4 linked regions of the Arabidopsis thaliana genome follow. The protein of the gene in region 1 interacts with the protein of each later gene in a pairwise test. Each region holds a gene or a part of one and is shown in the gene's direction. Other genes may lie near its edges.

The links.
Region 2: the proteins of BZO2H3 (region 1) and GBF6 interact in binary tests that used the Arabidopsis thaliana proteins (3 or more experiments, as listed by UniProt).
Region 3: the proteins of BZO2H3 (region 1) and bZIP1 interact in binary tests that used the Arabidopsis thaliana proteins (3 or more experiments, as listed by UniProt).
Region 4: the proteins of BZO2H3 (region 1) and bZIP44 interact in binary tests that used the Arabidopsis thaliana proteins (3 or more experiments, as listed by UniProt).

The regions. Positions count from the first base shown.
Region 1 is NC_003076.8:10,795,274-10,800,502, reverse strand, and holds BZO2H3 (bZIP transcription factor family protein), read left to right. Parts: upstream 1-2,197; 5' UTR 2,198-2,355; coding exon 2,356-2,622; intron 2,623-2,861; coding exon 2,862-2,952; intron 2,953-3,055; coding exon 3,056-3,167; intron 3,168-3,231; coding exon 3,232-3,307; coding exon of another isoform or gene 3,308-3,389; coding exon 3,390-3,515; coding exon of another isoform or gene 3,516-3,582; coding exon 3,583-3,855; 3' UTR 3,856-4,046; downstream 4,047-5,229. UniProt on the Arabidopsis thaliana protein: Transcription factor involved in controlling responses to starvation. BZIP2-BZIP63-KIN10 complex binds to the ETFQO promoter to up-regulate its transcription.
Region 2 is NC_003075.7:16,519,667-16,524,414, forward strand, and holds GBF6 (G-box binding factor 6), read left to right. Parts: upstream 1-2,194; 5' UTR 2,195-2,782; coding exon 2,783-3,262; 3' UTR 3,263-3,564; downstream 3,565-4,748. UniProt on the Arabidopsis thaliana protein: Transcription factor that binds to the DNA sequence 5'-ACTCAT-3' in target gene promoters. Promotes POX1/PRODH1 expression in response to hypoosmolarity stress.
Region 3 is NC_003076.8:20,049,898-20,053,796, forward strand, and holds bZIP1 (basic leucine-zipper 1), read left to right. Parts: upstream 1-1,931; 5' UTR 1,932-2,247; coding exon 2,248-2,685; 3' UTR 2,686-2,838; downstream 2,839-3,899. UniProt on the Arabidopsis thaliana protein: Transcription factor that binds to the C-box-like motif (5'-TGCTGACGTCA-3') and G-box-like motif (5'-CCACGTGGCC-3'), ABRE elements, of gene promoters involved in sugar signaling.
Region 4 is NC_003070.9:28,289,130-28,293,738, forward strand, and holds bZIP44 (basic leucine-zipper 44), read left to right. Parts: upstream 1-2,568; 5' UTR 2,569-3,094; coding exon 3,095-3,616; 3' UTR 3,617-3,879; downstream 3,880-4,609. UniProt on the Arabidopsis thaliana protein: Transcription factor that binds to the DNA G-box motif 5'-CACGTG-3' of MAN7 promoter. Involved in the positive regulation of seed germination through MAN7 gene activation.

The DNA.
Region 1 (5,229 bases):
GCCCACTAATTGATCCCACCGGCCTAGCTGCATGCATATCTTTTTTTTTTGGCAATGTTCTATTTTCCAAATCTTTCAGCATTATACGGAAAAAGAAAAACAAACCAACGAATAAATAACCCATACACGACACGAAAAAAATCCACAAAAAAATGTAGAAATAGTTTCTTGAACAGATAAACCTACTCTTTTGAAAGTAAGACAACAAAAAAAAAAATCTGATAATCAGGGGTGTTCCAGTTTTACCATCGACAAACTTTTTCAAAGTAAATGTATCCACTGTCTGTCCTAATCTAAAGCTGAACAATTAAGGGTTTTAAGCCTCAAAATATATATTTCATTTTGAAAGCACCAAAACTATAAATTTCTTGTAGGACAGTGATTTTTCCGGGTTTTTTTGTTTCTCATGTTATAGGTTTAAGTCTCCAATGCATCATTTTGCTATATTTTAAATATTTATAGGCAAAAAATATTTTGGGTTTTAGGACCAACTCTGAGTGTAGCCGTTGAATAGTCCATTCATCGGATTTTTAATAAACCTTAAACATGACACCAGGTCAAAATAAGAATGATTTAGAAATTGATTCATAACCTAACCTACATAATAATTCTTCCTAAAATAAGACAAAATGTCACACGAAATTATACAGTTTGAGATTTTTCTAAACCACTTTAACATAGAAAAGTCTACAAAATTCTACTAATGGTGTAATAGAGACGTACTTTGATAAAACGTAAATCATTCTTTCAAATAGAGTTGAACTACTGATATTCTCAAAGTCAAACCACCAACATCCACTTGGTTTGCAAGTGTTATGTTTCTCTCTCACTAGATATTCTCTTGATAAAAGGTTTTGCACAAGTGTACTAATATATGCAAAAATAAAGGACCCACCAAAATATGCAACTTGAATTTGGATAGATTCTTATCCAAAAATCAGAAGTTTAGTACATTTCTCTAATCTAACTTCACTTACAAAACTATATATTATGTTCCTCTCGGATCTCTCCTTTCCTTTGTAAAATGCAAATGGGAATATTAAATGGACCCATGAAATGAAGTTACGTTACAAAACCGACGACAACTATAATATTTATTATTTATATATTCTTGTGATGCAGATCAAAATTTAAATTGACTAAAATACCCCTTGCCACGTCAGTCTGACTTGGATTTGCCCCAAAAAGCGTTGAAAAAAATATTATTAAATCCAATAAGGCATAAACAAATATTATTACATGTATATTTTAAATATTACTTTAAGCTCCTCATATTCTTCTGTTTTTATCAATTATACACCAACATTTGTTGTTTATAAATATGAACCCCTAATCGTCCCCTTTCAAACGTGGAATATAAGATCGATATATATTACACATTTGAGTAAACAATTAGGCAATGAAGTTTGTGAAGGAGACTGCATTTCTGATAATCTTAATAATTTTTGTTTTCTTAATAATATTATTTATTTTTTTTATAAAATGGTCTGAAAAATTACAATCATTACATCGTTTCTAACGGTTTTTTCTTTCTTAAAGAATCGTTTTTAAATTTAAAATTTTCGATTATTTTTGATTTTTACCGCTAATCTTGGAATTTATCTTGAGTGCTCAAGAGTGAGTAAAATCCCTTACCTCGAAAAATCCCTTTATGGTAGAGGACGTTGGTGATAGTAACAATTTTTTCTCGTAGCTCGGTCATTGTGTCGGCCATTGTGAGATCGAAGAAAGATATTGAGATAAGGTGGGTTAAGCAGTAGATTCTCCGTTTTCCATTGTCCACTAGGATACAATTTTCTTTTTTGACTCTGATCAGTTTTTTCTATTTTAATTTGTGTATCTTAATATTATTATTCGTTGTAACTGTAGGCGAATCTCACCTTTTTTAAAAACATGTTTTAAGAAAGAAAAAAAAAAGTTTGACACTTTAATTATTTTTTCCATTCTATATATCTTATAAACTAAAAATTGTTCTAAAAAGTAGAAAAATTAGTATAACTAAAACCATATTTCCAGATACTTTTTTCCTTTTATTTATTATTAGTTCTGTTGTTAATAAAAATCGTTATAATTTTTTGTATTATGACCTGTCGTTTTTTAAGATACTACAAGAAAACAGTGACCTAACAGAATAAATCAAAAGTTTTTGCTGTAAATAGAAATACACGACTCTTGTCGGGGCCATTAGGGTAATAATCAGACAATTAAATATCTAACAAAACAACAAAACTTGAAAAGAACATATTATTAAAATGCAAGACTGCCCAATCGGATAAGAAGAAACTGTTTTGACAATTTGAAACCAAAAAAAAATAAATAAAACTAAAGAAACAAACAAATTACAAAAGAGAAAAGATGGAAAAAGTTTTCTCCGACGAAGAAATCTCCGGTAACCATCACTGGTCGGTTAATGGAATGACGTCGTTGAATCGCAGTGCTTCCGAATGGGCATTCAATCGTTTCATACAAGAATCCTCCGCCGCTGCAGACGACGGAGAATCTACGACGGCGTGTGGTGTTTCCGTCTCCTCTCCTCCTAATGTTCCTGTAGATTCAGAGGAATACAGAGCATTTCTCAAGAGTAAACTTAATCTTGCTTGTGCTGCTGTCGCCATGAAAAGGGTACTCACTACTCTGCTCAAGTTTGAGTTTTTTTTTTTTTCATAGAAAAAGAAAAACAAAACCTTTTTATCTGTTAGTTTGATGAGTTCACTTGAAGCTAAGAAACTAATCTTGTTTTGTTATGTTTGAGTGTTAAGATCTTATTGGACCTTTTGTATATGATTTGCCATTATCTTCCTTGAGATTATAATTTGCATTAGTTAATTGATTTTGTGGTGTTAATATTGAAAATTTGATAGGGAACTTTCATCAAACCTCAGGATACTTCTGGTAGATCTGACAATGGTGGAGCCAATGAATCAGAACAAGCCTCTCTTGCTTCTTCCAAAGGTTTTACAATACATCTATGATAAGCCTTTTAAGATGTTATTGATAGTTGTTGTGTTTGTTTTCAAGATTTCTTGTAAATGCTAATGGACCAATCTGTATGCAGCTACACCAATGATGAGCAGTGCTATAACAAGTGGATCTGAGCTCTCTGGTGATGAAGAAGAAGCTGATGGTGAAACTAATATGAACCCTACTAATGTTAAACGCGTTAAAAGGTAACAAATTTACATCCTTTCTTGGACTTGAACATGAACATGAACGTGAATTTGTTTGTTATAGGATGCTCTCTAATAGAGAATCAGCTAGACGGTCCAGAAGAAGAAAGCAAGCACACTTGAGTGAGCTAGAGACACAAGTATGTTACTCTCGCAGCGTTCTTATTCTTTCTCCTTTAACTTTGTTTAGCTCACTTGTGCGACAATCTCCATTTCGTGTAGGTTTCACAGCTTCGTGTAGAGAATTCAAAACTCATGAAGGGTCTCACTGATGTAACTCAAACATTCAATGATGCATCTGTAGAAAACAGAGTTTTAAAAGCCAATATTGAGACACTACGAGCAAAGGTAAAATACTTTCTTTTATCTCTCTGTCTACCAAAACTCGCTATTGAAGCATGTTTGTTTTTGGCAGGTGAAAATGGCTGAAGAGACAGTGAAGAGACTCACTGGCTTTAACCCAATGTTCCACAATATGCCTCAGATTGTTTCAACTGTCTCTCTTCCTTCAGAGACATCAAATTCTCCAGACACTACAAGCAGCCAAGTGACTACACCAGAGATCATTAGCTCGGGGAACAAAGGCAAGGCCTTGATAGGGTGCAAGATGAACAGAACAGCTTCGATGCGTAGAGTTGAGAGCTTGGAACATCTGCAGAAACGTATTCGAAGCGTTGGGGATCAGTAGCTGTTAAAGAAGAATCTTGATTTGTAACATTAATCTTAAGACATATGTTAAGACAAAATGTTGTATGTTTTTGTAAAGAATTGTTTTTTCAGATTATTTAAATTTTTTTTTGTCTTCTTCGTTGATTGTTTGTGTTGAACTTCTAATTTTCATTGTACATGTCTTTTGTTAAATTTACAAAGTTTTTCTAATTTCTGTTAAGAATTACAAGTTTTATCAATTTCACCTAGTGAAACTATTGAAATGGTGATGAGGCAACGATGCAAACGTATAATTTTGGTTATTGAAACTAGAAATTACGAGTTTAATCCCAAATTTCGGCTCTTAGAATCGGGTTTCTATCAATAATTTTTGTTTAAATCCGAATTAGATTATAAATATATATATAAATAAAATAACTATAATTAAACCTTATTAATTTATATTTTTTTTCAAAGTAACCTTTAAATTATGATTTAAGATATTCAATTATGTTCGTTTTTTCGTATCGATTATTTTGATTTGGTTCAGATCGGATAAAACATCTCTAATAAGAATTAATATGCTCTTTTGTAGAATTAATATTCATGAAATATTTAGAAATTTTGTATATTATATAAAATTTAGGAGTACTTTTGACGTATTTTTTTTTGTCGACAATTTCTTTGATTACTAACCCAAAAGGGCAAATTATAAGAGAAGTATAGGTGAAATTTGTGGATCCAAAACCCCATGATATAAGTCCAAACTAAACCCATACAATAATACATCAAATTAAGACTAGGTTTAAAATGAGACACGTGTTAGCCACGTCCCACGTGTTATTGCACAAAGGAGTGGTGGAAAACAACCGACTTGCCACCAAAAATGGAAAAATCCGGTCAGATTCAAAAGAATTTCAGTGAGGAAAATCACCATTTTCAGCACTTGATTCCAACAGATTTCAGCTTCTTACTCCGTATTTCACCAGATCCATTTGCAGCGTTTTTGAAAAGGTAGAAAACCGATGTCCTTGAATCTTCAAATCTATTAAACTCTGGAATCCGCGAGAAGATGAGATGTCAAATTAGTCGCTATACGTCGCTTTGCTAATTTGGTCTCAACCAGACACGAAATCCAACTTTCACGATTCACAAGCTCAAAGAGAAACCAACATCCAAAGCCGATTAGATGTCCACTAAACGGTATGAGGATTTACTCTCCTCAGAAACGAGATCAAGCAGATGAATATTCAGAATCTTGGAATTACCCCTCAGATTTTGCCTCTAACGACATCTGCAAAAGGAAAGGAGAAGAAAAAACTAAAAAGAAATAGCCACAAATGCTAACAAAAGCTCGCAACAAACCGAACTTTGCCGGAAACCAAAAAAAGTAATTTTGATGTATTTTGTTTTT
Region 2 (4,748 bases), on another chromosome or scaffold:
ATTAACGACGATGAGCGGTTGGTCTATGTCGGTTAGTTTTGTATAATGAGATTTCAAGATCCGAAGAAAATTTTGACCTTTTAAAAATTTAACCCAATTTTGTGAGAGTATCCCCGGAATTTTGGAGGTTGGCATGATTAGATATCAACTATCAAGTGTGTCGTACCATTCATGTAATTTCTTTTTTACTAATTTTGTTATATTTCTTTTTAACTGTTTTGATTTATTTATAAATAGACTAAAAAGTATGTTGAGTGAATATGTTTGGTGAAATTCATGCATCGTTTTTGGGAAGTGGGCTGGATCAGTGGATCTCTTCCACACTTTCCCAAACTAATAAAGAGAAACTGAAAATAAATAAAAAACGAAAAAAGTTAAATTATTTAATCGTAATTTAAATTTTGTAAAACAATTTTTATAACTAAAACACCATCTGTGGTAAGACGGTGGAATACATTAAGAATGTAGTATTAAATTACTACTCTACAAGTACTTAACTAATTATTATAATCCTTACATATTATCAGCATCTGAATAATTAACCCAGATTAATACGTATAAATCTTTCACAAATTGGAGAATAAGATTAGGAAATGAAAACAGCTGTATTGAGTCTGGAGAGTTCGTATCCCAACCTCACATGTCCCTCTCACCTTTTCTTCTTCTTCGGCCTACTTACACATGTTCTTCTCATTTTACTCTAAGCACAGATTCTTTTGTATTTCTTAATCTCTTTTTATTTTTATTTCAGGTTTTTTTTCATTTGATTATTCACAAATTAACTATTTTATTTAGTGTTGGTGGTAATTGATTTTTAATTAGTTTCATAGATTTCTGCAGACAAATTCTGGCTTTCATGTTTTTCTTTTTGCTTTTTTTTTTAATAATAATTCGCATTACAAATATATCATTAATTTTTCTTTCTCTTTTGTCGTTACGTGAAAATAGATTTGCTGTGTGTTTTTTTTCTCCCGACAAATATAGACTTAGAGCATTTCCATCGCGAGTTTCTGGATTCTGGTCTATTAAAACAGAACAAAAAATTCAAAAAATGTGGAGAGAAAGTAAAAACGTTTCTCACTTGAGAAACTCATTTTTGCTTTTGTTTTGTTTTGATTGGTTCAAATAATAATTAAAAAAATAAATAATAAAATAATAATAAAATTTATATTATTTTATAAAAATGGGTTTCTCACCGATGGAGATGGTCTTACTGTTTTACTGAAGAAGATTTAATAAAGTTCTCGCTTCTTTTTTCCTCTGAGCTTAACTTTTTACTTTTTGTGATAATAAAAAGAAGAAAACAAAGAAAAAGTTTTGTTTTCCTCTAAAACAAAGAATAGTTTTATCTGCAATCTTTGTAAAAGAAACTGTACTTTGTTTTTTTTTTCAATTTCTTTCCTCCTAAGAAATCACAGTACTAAACAAAACCAAAAGAAAAAAAAAAAAAATTTAGGCAGGTCAATTTTTAAGCTGGTCTGTTTTTGTGTGAGCTTTAATTTTCTGTCTTTGAAATATCTTTATCTACCACGACAGTTTATAAAATTTGAAAGGGAAATTTATTTGGTATTAGGTTTCTAAGAACTTCAATAAAGCTATATTTTCAATTACTTGTTATTAAATGCAAAAAAAAATCTAAATGGATGTTTAGGTATAACTGCAACAAAATTTATGGAAAAAACAAGACTTGATGAATGTATAATCTCAAGAGTTATTTTAAGCATAAATTTAAATCTAAATTTTCTATTTAAAATTATTTGATGAATTTTTCTATTTTTAATTATGATAAATGCAAGATTCATAGTATCTAAATTTAATACAGTATATGATTAGGCTTTTCATTAAACAATATAAATATTTTTTTTATCTTGACATAATGATGAGTAAATAATTTACCAACTAAATACATATAATTTTTGATCAATACCATTCAAAAGAAGAAAAAACACTTTCTCTTACTTATCTTTGAATTAATTTTGAAATATTTCATTAAGAAAAATTAATTGTTTAAAATATTGCTTTGATTAATGTAGACACTCTAGAAAACTTTTTAAAGGTTAGGGAAAAAATGTTACCAAAAAAAAGTTAGGAAAAAAATGTAAAAATAAAGAAAAGAATCTTCTTCCCCTAATAGAATCCAAACAAATGTATCGCTTACCATCAAGTTGCACAAACACTCAAAACGCTTTTTGATGATTTTTCTTCTATAAAATCTTTCTCCTCAACCATTTCAAAGCCCCCTCTTCTCTCCTTCTCTCCCTTTTCTCTCTCTCTCGAAGATATCGCCTTTAATTCCTTCTTCTTCTTCTGATTTCTTCAAAGATTCATTTCTTAGAGATCTCAGCTTCTGTAAGAGTAGGCTAGCTACCAAAAAAAAAGAAATAGAAAAAAACATTGATGCTTAATCAGCAGTTCTTGGTGTTTGAGACACATGTCTCCAATAATACTCAGTGAGATCTTTCTCTCTGGGTTTATGTTAAATTCCACAATCAGGCGCAGGACCCATCTTGTTCAATCTTTCTCTGTTGTCTTCCTTTACTGGCTTTACTATGTCTCATGATCTCTGAACTTATCTCCAGTTTTATATCTATACGCATAATTACAACAAAACCCTAGTTTCTTTTCAAATTTCTCTTCTTCGTTTTTCGTCATCTGGGTCCTGTCCTGTTCTGTTGTGTCTTGTTCTGTTCTGTTTTTAATTCCCCTAAAAACCCATTTTAAAATATTTTATCTCTCTTCTCTTAAAAAAAACTCTTCCCTGTTTTTGTTTGTGTGTTACTAAATGGAATCGTCGTCGTCGGGAACAACTTCGTCGACGATTCAAACGTCGTCAGGATCGGAGGAGAGTCTCATGGAGCAGAGGAAACGTAAACGGATGCTCTCAAACCGTGAATCTGCAAGGAGATCAAGAATGAAGAAACAAAAGCTCCTAGACGATCTAACGGCTCAGGTTAATCATCTGAAAAAAGAGAACACGGAGATCGTGACAAGTGTCAGCATCACAACGCAACACTACCTAACCGTTGAAGCAGAGAACTCTGTTCTCAGAGCTCAGCTTGATGAACTTAACCACAGGCTCCAATCTCTCAACGACATCATCGAGTTCCTCGACAGTAGCAACAACAACAACAACAACAACATGGGCATGTGTTCGAACCCTCTGGTTGGTTTGGAGTGTGATGATTTCTTCGTGAATCAGATGAACATGTCTTATATTATGAACCAGCCTCTCATGGCGTCTTCTGATGCTTTAATGTATTAAATGTGGACCTAAAAACCCCCTCGAAATCACAAAGAAATGGGGCCGTTTTTATTTGTCCGATTTAGAGACATGTCCAAAGAGAGAGATTTATATATAAAAATGGGTCTGTTGTTTGATTTGTTTCCATTTCAAATTTTTGTTTGTTTGGGTCCGTTTTAGGCGTTAGGTATCTCTAAGCATCATCGTTATGAGTGTGTCTGTAATAAAGGCTCTGTTGCCGCATGAGTACAAAGTGTTTTCTTAATATTGTAATATGCTTATTACTTTCTTTTTATTCTTAAGTACTAATCCCATTTTTATATAATTTCTTGAGCATTAATAGTAAAGTAATAAAATGTATCGTAGTAAGAGTTTCGCATGTAACGTACGCTCTACAGAATCATGTTTCACGCCAATCAAACATTATAGTAGGCAGATGAAATATCAATGATAAAATAGCTTGTAATTTTGGGTAATCTTCAACTCGCCAAAGTAAAATTTTAAAAAGGTGTTAATGTTGATTAAGGTGTTTTTAGTCATGAACGAGTGTGGATGATATTAGATTCAGTTTATAGATTTGGATCTATTCTTAAGAAGAAGACTTACGAAATTCAAAACTTTTAAGAATCTAGATGAATTGAGGGTTGGTAGGTTAATGTTGTAATAAGAAGAAACCTTATTTTCTTTTTGATCTGGAAAAAGATAAACAACATATAACATCTTACATAAAATCCTTTTATGTCTGAAGATCTCTCAGAATAAGAAATGAAACTGTGCAGATTCTTGTAAAATATTTTAAACTTATTTCTTGTGAATTTTGGAGATTTTTTTTGTGTGCTAGACTTATAGGTGAAATCATAGCCTCTTGTATTCTTTGCTTTTACACATCATCTTTTAATTGATTTTCTTATCTCAAATTTCTTTTTGGGATTTTAAATTTCACAGTTCCATTTATCACCAATAGATCCATATACAAGTACATCACAAAATAATGGTTATACTACATCGTGAGTAATAATGGGAATCCTATTCTACCCTTTTGGCAGAACTATACTTTTTGTTGCTGGATAGTTTGTTTTATATCCATTGATCACGGATGGTTCATTTCATAAATATTATAAATAGAAAGCCTCTTTTTATTTTATATGAAGAAGTCTTCTATTTGATAATTGCGGTATATATTTTTTACCTTTATTTCAAGTTTAGTATTCCTTCTTGAGAATATCGTACATGTGTCGACAGACTCGAGAGATTATAAAAAGGCATCTTATGTGTTTTGATCTAGCTAGGCTCTTAGGAACATTGAAAAGATATGTAATTCATTGCTTACTGTTTGTAGTTTCGAAGATAATAAAGACCCAAAACGTAAGTTAAGTGAAGGGGTTAATTATTAAAAAAAAAACTAACAGAATGTGAAGTACTAAAGGAGATAGTTGATAAAAACCAGAATATCATTTTATACTAGCTAGAGTATACGCACTAAATCACCATATGCATGGTAAAGATT
Region 3 (3,899 bases), 9.3 Mb from region 1:
GTTAAAACAAAGAAAACAAAAATAAGAATGCAAACTTTCTTAATACGATAAACAGGAGCAAATGTTTTTATTTGTTAAACTTGATTTAGTTCACGTTCTTAGATAAATGTGTTAGAATTTGAGAAGTTTTATTTCTGTTTTGTACTTGTCTTCTTAAAATTAGATATAGGGTTCAAAAAAAAAACTTGCATGTTTATTCTATCATTTAGTTTATACACATACATTTTAAACTATAAATTAGGATTCTAATATGACAACAACACTTTTAAAACAAACCACTAAGTTTCAACCACAATTTGGAACTAATAATTAAAAAAATAATTAAGAAAGTTGATAGAGAAATATCAATGGCAAAAAAAAGAGAAACTACAACACTCCCTAAAACCCAAAACATTAAATTTCAATATATCATGTATATGATTACAAATTTAACAAATTTCATAAAAAAAACAAAGAAATATGTAACCAGTAGTTTAAACAATAATGGTGGTAATAGTCAATTGGTTAAACCTATTTAACTCCACATTTTCTACTGGAGTTTGACTTTATTAAATCACGTTATTTGGATAATAGTTAGGGATTATCTATAGATCAGATCTTATTAATGAAAATATGTCAAACAAAAATAATAATAAATTTGTTATCTAAATAAAACTTTTAATATACTTTACCACGTTATAAACACTTAAAATAAAATAACAATTAACAGCAATTTACATGTAGATTTCTGCATTAGTTTTTTCATTTTTTTCTAGTTTGTTCAAAACCTCAAATATCAAGATTGACTCAGACCCGAACAAAAGGTCCGTAGAACCTAAACAAATTTCTAAAACTAGCCAACCAATGAAGTGCATCTACTTTTTTTTTATGAAAAATAATTATATTGAAGTATTTTATTTATCTGATAAATAAATAATGATATATAGTTTATCGGTGAGCAGATAAGGATCGTGTATTTTCAAGTATTATATTAATTAATAAATTATCGCCCATCTTCTATTGTTTTGTATTTTCATTTGAAAAGAAAGCAGGGCTGGCTTATCAATATATACAGTCTCTTTCTTTTAGTTTACTAAAATCATTTCAGATAAGACCCACACAAAAGTAATATCAAATGGAATTTTGCTTTCAACATGGATAATTTTCTTTAATAATAAAATTGTCAACCATGTTAAGCGTAATCTCTAAATCCCCAAAATTAAAAACACTAAAAATAGTCGGTCATTGCTCCACGTTTAACCTGTCCAATTCCAAAAGAACTTCGTGTTTCATTGACGATATAGTTTACGTACGTATGATTCTTTCTAAATGAGGTATTTTTGTCCCATTAGCAATTTAAAATTTAAAATGGTTGTGTAACTTTTTGAAATGCTTAGTAGTTAAAACCGAACTAAGAAGAAATAATGATCGGAACGTGTTTATGTCAGCTAATGCATTACCCACTGACATTAACTGATCCAGTTTACTGATTTTAGACAATCATACTCTATTTTTACTGGAGTTGCAGAAAAAGGGACTTACAAAACGATGAATTAAATTTGGACAAGTATATATACATAATTAGAAGGTTATAGAATCTAGTTTTCGTAGGATATTTCTTGAATTATCCTACGAGTGTGACAACTAAATGCACAACAAAACAACAATTTAAATGCTAAAAAGCAAAAATAGTAATTACTGGTCACCTATTAAGGAACAACACCAACACCTATTTAGCTGTTATGTCCTAATAAAAATAAAATAAAATAAAAACAATAAACCAAAAAAGTAAAAAATAAAAATGTTTGACTAAAATTCTCTTTCTTTTCCGATTCGTCATTCGATGAATCTTCCTTTCTTATACAATTTGGATAATCTTTTCTAATGTAAAAATTCGAGATTTTTTTTTATAATGTTAAATCTATAAATAAGAGCAACCTAAAACGAACAACTTCTCCCACTTTCCTTATTTTCGATCTTATCCTTATCTTCTTCCTTGTTCTATTTCTCTTCTAACTAATCTCTTCTCTTCTCTTAAAATCAAACGTAATCATAAATAAAGATCTTCTTGTTTAATTTCTCTTGATCCTCGCAAAATCACAGATTCTTGAAATTCTTTTTTCTTGTCTTGAAATTCTTGAGTTCTTGAGTTATGAAAAGACAATGGACAGAGTTATGAAATGATAAATCTCAACCAATTCCTTGTTTATCATTCTATATCAGTTGTGATTCTTCATTGGTTTTACGTTATCTCTTGAACAAAAAAACATGGCAAACGCAGAGAAGACAAGTTCAGGTTCCGACATAGATGAGAAGAAAAGAAAACGCAAGTTATCAAACCGCGAATCTGCAAGGAGGTCGCGTTTGAAGAAACAGAAGTTAATGGAAGACACGATTCATGAGATCTCCAGTCTTGAACGACGAATCAAAGAGAACAGTGAGAGATGTCGAGCTGTAAAACAGAGGCTTGACTCGGTCGAAACGGAGAACGCGGGTCTTAGATCGGAGAAGATTTGGCTCTCGAGTTACGTTAGCGATTTAGAGAATATGATTGCTACGACGAGTTTAACGCTGACGCAGAGTGGTGGTGGCGATTGTGTCGACGATCAGAACGCAAACGCGGGAATAGCGGTTGGAGATTGTAGACGTACACCGTGGAAATTGAGTTGTGGTTCTCTACAACCAATGGCGTCCTTTAAGACATGAGATTTGTGTATTAGTGTGTGTTTTACTTTGGTCATTTTATAGTTTTTGTAATCTTTTTATATCGAATTGTTTCTTCTCATTACTTTCTGAATTCTGATACAATTGCATATCTTATTGTTTTCAACATTTTCATTTAACGTTATATGATTTTCGGTGGTTAACCCGAAAGAAAAAAAAAAAGTTTTTTTGGTACCTTGCATGTAAATGGCAGAACTGATGAAGTAATCAAAATTGAAGCAAAAAGTGGGGAAGTAGTATATGTTCTGGTCATAATTGAGTATTACCGATAAAAATTGCTTTGGTAACACGATAACAATTTTTTGTGTCAAATTTTTCAATTTTATGAATAATTCAAAATAATATAGGGCTTGAATGGTATGTGTCTTATTTGCATGTTCATGTGTTTCAAAACGTGATTTTGCCGAGTGTATACCATTCACAATAATAACCACGGAGTGATAAACCGTGAAAATTAATAAGCTATTTTCCAATCTATTTCGCATGTGTTAAATGTATAACTAACTAGTTTAGACAAAGTCATTTATTAAGTAGCTTTTTGGCGTGTTAAGTTTATTCCGTTTTGAATTTTGTCGTCCTGGTGATTCCGCTATTGTATTGTTCAGTTATTCAACTAATGTACCAGTCAAGTCTTTACCCCTTAGTTTAGAGTTTTCTCGTTTTGATGGGTTTGATTGGTATGTGAGATGGATAGCTGAACAATAGAATAACTAAATAATGGTTAGCTGAATGAAATGAACTAAAGAAAGTTTATGTAGAATGATTATAAATTGCTAAAAAAAACTAGTTATTGTAGATTAATCACGTTTCTTAGTTATAATTTTTAATACGCTAGTGCTATATAATGGAATCATTTTTTTAAACATGAAAACGTTAAAACTTGATAAAATTTTGAAAGGTAAAAATAGCGGAATCACGTTTTAAAAACGTGACCACGTGAACTGGTATACGGTAAACCATTCAAGCCCATAGATTAATGAAAATGTGATAATTATAAGATTTTTCTATCTTTTTCAACATGGAGTATTCTAAACGCGTAGGAGTTTAATTGATTTTAAGTGATTTATTTGTCTATAAATGTTATATATATATTCGATGTATAGAACAATAGATGAACTATCATAAACCATAAAATTCAATGATTTCAAATATGATCGAGGTGATTTTTTAGCTCTAGTGATATGTCTATCAATTTC
Region 4 (4,609 bases), on another chromosome or scaffold:
ACAATAATAATTATTACATTTTGATATTGCTTTTGATATAGAAACCTGTTTTTGCCAAAACGCAGTATCTTTGCCTTTGCTTTTATAAGTACTTTTTTCCCTATCTGTGTATAAGTTTCACTAAGCAACTTGTATCCCTTTTGTGTTGGGTAAAAAGAGACTTCACACTACACACACCACTTACCAAACTTTGATAGTTTTTATGACTTTTGGCATTATCATGAGATTCAAAGCGAAACTTAGTAAAATGGTCGTTAGTTTATAACCTGCATAGTATTAGTTACACCTTTTTAATTGAATTACTATGTCAAAATATAGGTTCTAAGTATATAATATATATTCTGATAAAATTTTGTTTCATATAGAACTGAGTTAAGCAAGCAATATTCTGAAATTTCTTAAGATATTTATCTAATTAAATTAGTTAGGTGAACTAGTTTTATTGATAATTTATTTGACATAATAAGTAATAAACATTAATATTAAATAATATTATCTCGGCTATTATGGTTGTATGATTTTTATTTTTTTGTGTGTGTAATACTATATATAAAATAAAACAGTCTCTACATCAGTTTTTATTTTATGAAATTAGATGTGATATGCCTGTTGCCCAAAAAAAAAAGAAGATGTGATATGCCTTAGTAGAAAGCAATAACAACAATCTTTTTGTTGAATGAAAAATTATTGAGGTGACGATTATTATTTTTATGGTAAGTGGTAACCATTTGTATTTTAGACATTAATTTATAGTGGGATCTTTTGCCTTTCCAATACATGTCGCATTTTTATTTATTTATTCAATTGATTTTGCGTTATGATAAATATATTTGAGATATCTTAATTAGTTCGATGAAACCTTGGGTATCTGAAAAATCTTCGATTTTGTAAAGAAAATTATGTTTCTGTATCGAATAAAATTAATTTTTCATTTAAAATGAAAGATTTTTTAAAAAAATAAGGCCAAATAAGCATTGTGTGAAGAAGACAAATTAGTACAAATTACTTTTTCTTACCTGTTGCAATGTTTGCAGGGACACATTCATTAATTGGAAATACCTAATTAACGTTAGACTTCACTTATTCGATTGAACCAACATTTTTTCTTTTTAAAAATCCATTTTCAATAATAAAATGACACGTGTCGATCTTACATCTCAACTGCGATGTTTGACATGGGTCCACATGCGCACAGAGCACGCACTCTTTGCATTGCAATTGCACGTGAGATGTCCGTACTATGACGGTCCATCTTACATAATTTTCCTATTCAATTAATTAAGCTATATATATATGTGTGTTTTACAAAATTTAGTATATAATATTATTGTAAGTTATAGAGCTGTAGATGAGTACGTATTATTCTTATTTCAATCTTTTTATGAGATTTATAGATATCAAAGTTTTGCCGAAATGTTTGATTAATTACGAGCTCGAGGATGAACAAAAAAATTTGGTAAAGAGTTTCTCACAAACCATTTCAGTTAAAGCACCAAAACCAAATGATTAAGTAGTCATGGTCCACATGTAATATGTTACACACAATAAAATTATTTTATAAATTGACACGAATTTACGTCTTGGATTCTACAATCCAATGTTATGTAACTATACGTACCACAACACGTCGGTCACATGAAGTTCAATGAGTTAAAGTTTTTGACACCCTTAATGTTTAGATAATGTATATATGTTCTTCTTTTTGTTGTCAAATAGTAGTTTTTTACCGTACTGTAATTTACTCGTTTAAAGTTTATTGTTTTTTCTTTTTGTCTTTTCTTTTCGATATGTAACTTGATATTTTATAGTGGACTCCAAAACGTTATAGAAATATTGTAAAGATAATAATAGTTCTAATTTTGATGCTTCATACGGCGATAAATTCAACGGCTGGTTAGTTGATAGTTTTCTAAACTATTAATTTATTATCCTAAATATATATATTATTTTTTTGGACAGCGAAATTGATTGAATTATTGACAAAAAGATATATGTATAAGAAATTAAATAACGAAAATACCACCTCTACCCTCATTCATGATTTGTCTCATGCTCCAGGTGTCCGTTGCTCAACGGTTAATTCTGGTACTTTGGGCGGTGATTTTGATGTATTAAAAAGAAGTCGAGAACCAACGACAAAAGTTTCAATTATTCTTATTATTATTATCTTTAAGATTCTTTAGCAGTAAAAGTTAGCATTAATACAAAACTATTATTATCAGTGTTACTGTAATATTGTTGAAAGCCATCATTTGACCAAAATTAATTAAACGCGTTGTTTTCATCAGAGAATAAAATTTGAAGATTTTAAAAATCAAAACTTTTCACAAAATAGGATACCCAATACCGAAGATTCTTTCCTTTTCCATATTAAAAATGTCTAAAAATAGTTATTGGTTAATTATACAGAATCATTAATTTACAATTAAACCCATACACATAAATATATAAATAAAATATTGCAAAACAGCTGTAACTTGACTGTTTCGGAAAATCCCACTTCACATGCTTCATCTCTCAACACCTTCTTTCTGATATTCACTTTATACTCTCTTTATTTTCTTATTAAATCTAGTATGCTCTAAACCCTTTTTGCTAACTCTATAAAATCCCCTCACAAATCCTTAATTCACCTCTTCCCCTTCGCTCTCGAATCAATCACTCTCTCTTCTTTAGCGTTTTTATTTTGTCTTCCTCGTTTTCTTCTACCTTTTTATATTTTCTCTCTTTTCAGTTTTCTCTAGAAAAAAACACTAGTAATCAGTTTGCGTTTGATAAATATTTGATGTGGCAAAACTCTTGTGGATCTTGATGTTCAAACATTCATGTCTCCGGTGATTAGTGAAATCCTTAGATCTGGTTTAACTATAGACTCGTCTCTTAGACGCAGGACCCATCTTGTTCAATCTTTCTCCGTCGTCTTTCTCTACTGGTTCTATGTTTTCTCATAAATCAGCTCTCCTTTAGCCCTTTATTATTATATATTCTATAACCATAATAATATATTAAAACTATATACTATAATCTTTTTACATAATAAACTTTGGGTCCTGCGTCTTAATCATAGTACTTAATTTTCTCTGTGTGTTTTAATATGAATAATAAAACTGAAATGGGATCTTCCACAAGTGGAAATTGCTCGTCGGTTTCAACCACTGGTTTAGCTAACTCCGGTTCAGAATCTGATCTCCGGCAACGTGATCTAATCGACGAGCGGAAGAGAAAGAGGAAACAGTCGAACAGAGAATCTGCGAGGAGGTCGAGGATGAGGAAGCAGAAGCATTTGGATGATCTCACTGCTCAGGTGACTCATCTACGTAAAGAAAACGCTCAGATCGTCGCCGGAATCGCCGTCACGACGCAGCACTACGTCACTATCGAGGCGGAGAACGACATTCTCAGAGCTCAGGTTCTTGAACTTAACCACCGTCTCCAATCTCTTAACGAGATCGTTGATTTCGTCGAATCTTCTTCTTCAGGATTCGGTATGGAGACCGGTCAGGGATTATTCGACGGTGGATTATTCGACGGCGTGATGAATCCTATGAATCTAGGGTTTTATAATCAACCAATCATGGCTTCTGCTTCTACTGCTGGTGATGTTTTCAACTGTTAGAAAACTTCACATCATTATCATCGTGAGTGAGACTAATCATCGCAGCAGGGGTAAAACTGTAATTTTTCTTATAAATTATGTGATGATGCTTTGTTTCTTTATTTTATAAGATGGTTAATTAGTGTTTAAAACTGATTGTAATGATAGACAGTGTAAGAAATGTGTGATATCATGGAGATGGTGATGTGAGTTTGGTACAAATATTTTAAGATCTTTTCTTTCTATATATTAAAAGTGAAGAAATAATATTTTGTCATTTTCTTAGAGTTTTCTGTTTCCTTATTTGGGAGTTATTGTTGCTCTTATTAGAAAGATGAAATTTTGGCTATTAGTGAAATAAATGAAAATAATGTGAAAGCTCGTGGACGGTTTTTGTAGATGGCGGTGGTCCATTTAAAATACTATATAGAAATGGTGTGTTGTGATTATTGTGTTAGAGACTATATTTTCCCGATGTGATAAAATAATTATGCATTTTGGTACTTACATCAAAATGAGTTGTTATCATGGGTCACTCGAGTTTTTTTCTTTTTTAAGAATTTTATACCATCTCCATCGAAGTATCTGATTGAGATACTCATCAAATAAATAATAATTAAAAAGAAAAAAAACAAGAGAGAAAGAAAGAAAAGTGGCGAACCGTTTCTGGCAAAAGAGACGATTCTTAGCATTTATTGAGAGTTGTCATTCAACTAATGGTTTATTTACTTTAAACTAATTAAAATATATTAATTTAATTAAAATACTAATTTATTTATTTTTTGAGATATTCTCTACCACTTTTGTCGATGAAGATGCTCTTACGTACGAGGCCATATGATCTCGTTATTCTCAATCATTTCGTTTCTTTGATCCTTTAAATATCTGAATGCCAATTCTTTGATCTCAAATCCCGATCATTCACAAATTCACTTAATATTTCATGAAGTGGTTAAGGGAAATCATATCATTGCTAAACCAGTTCATTATTATGTGTTGTGCCATTTGGATCTG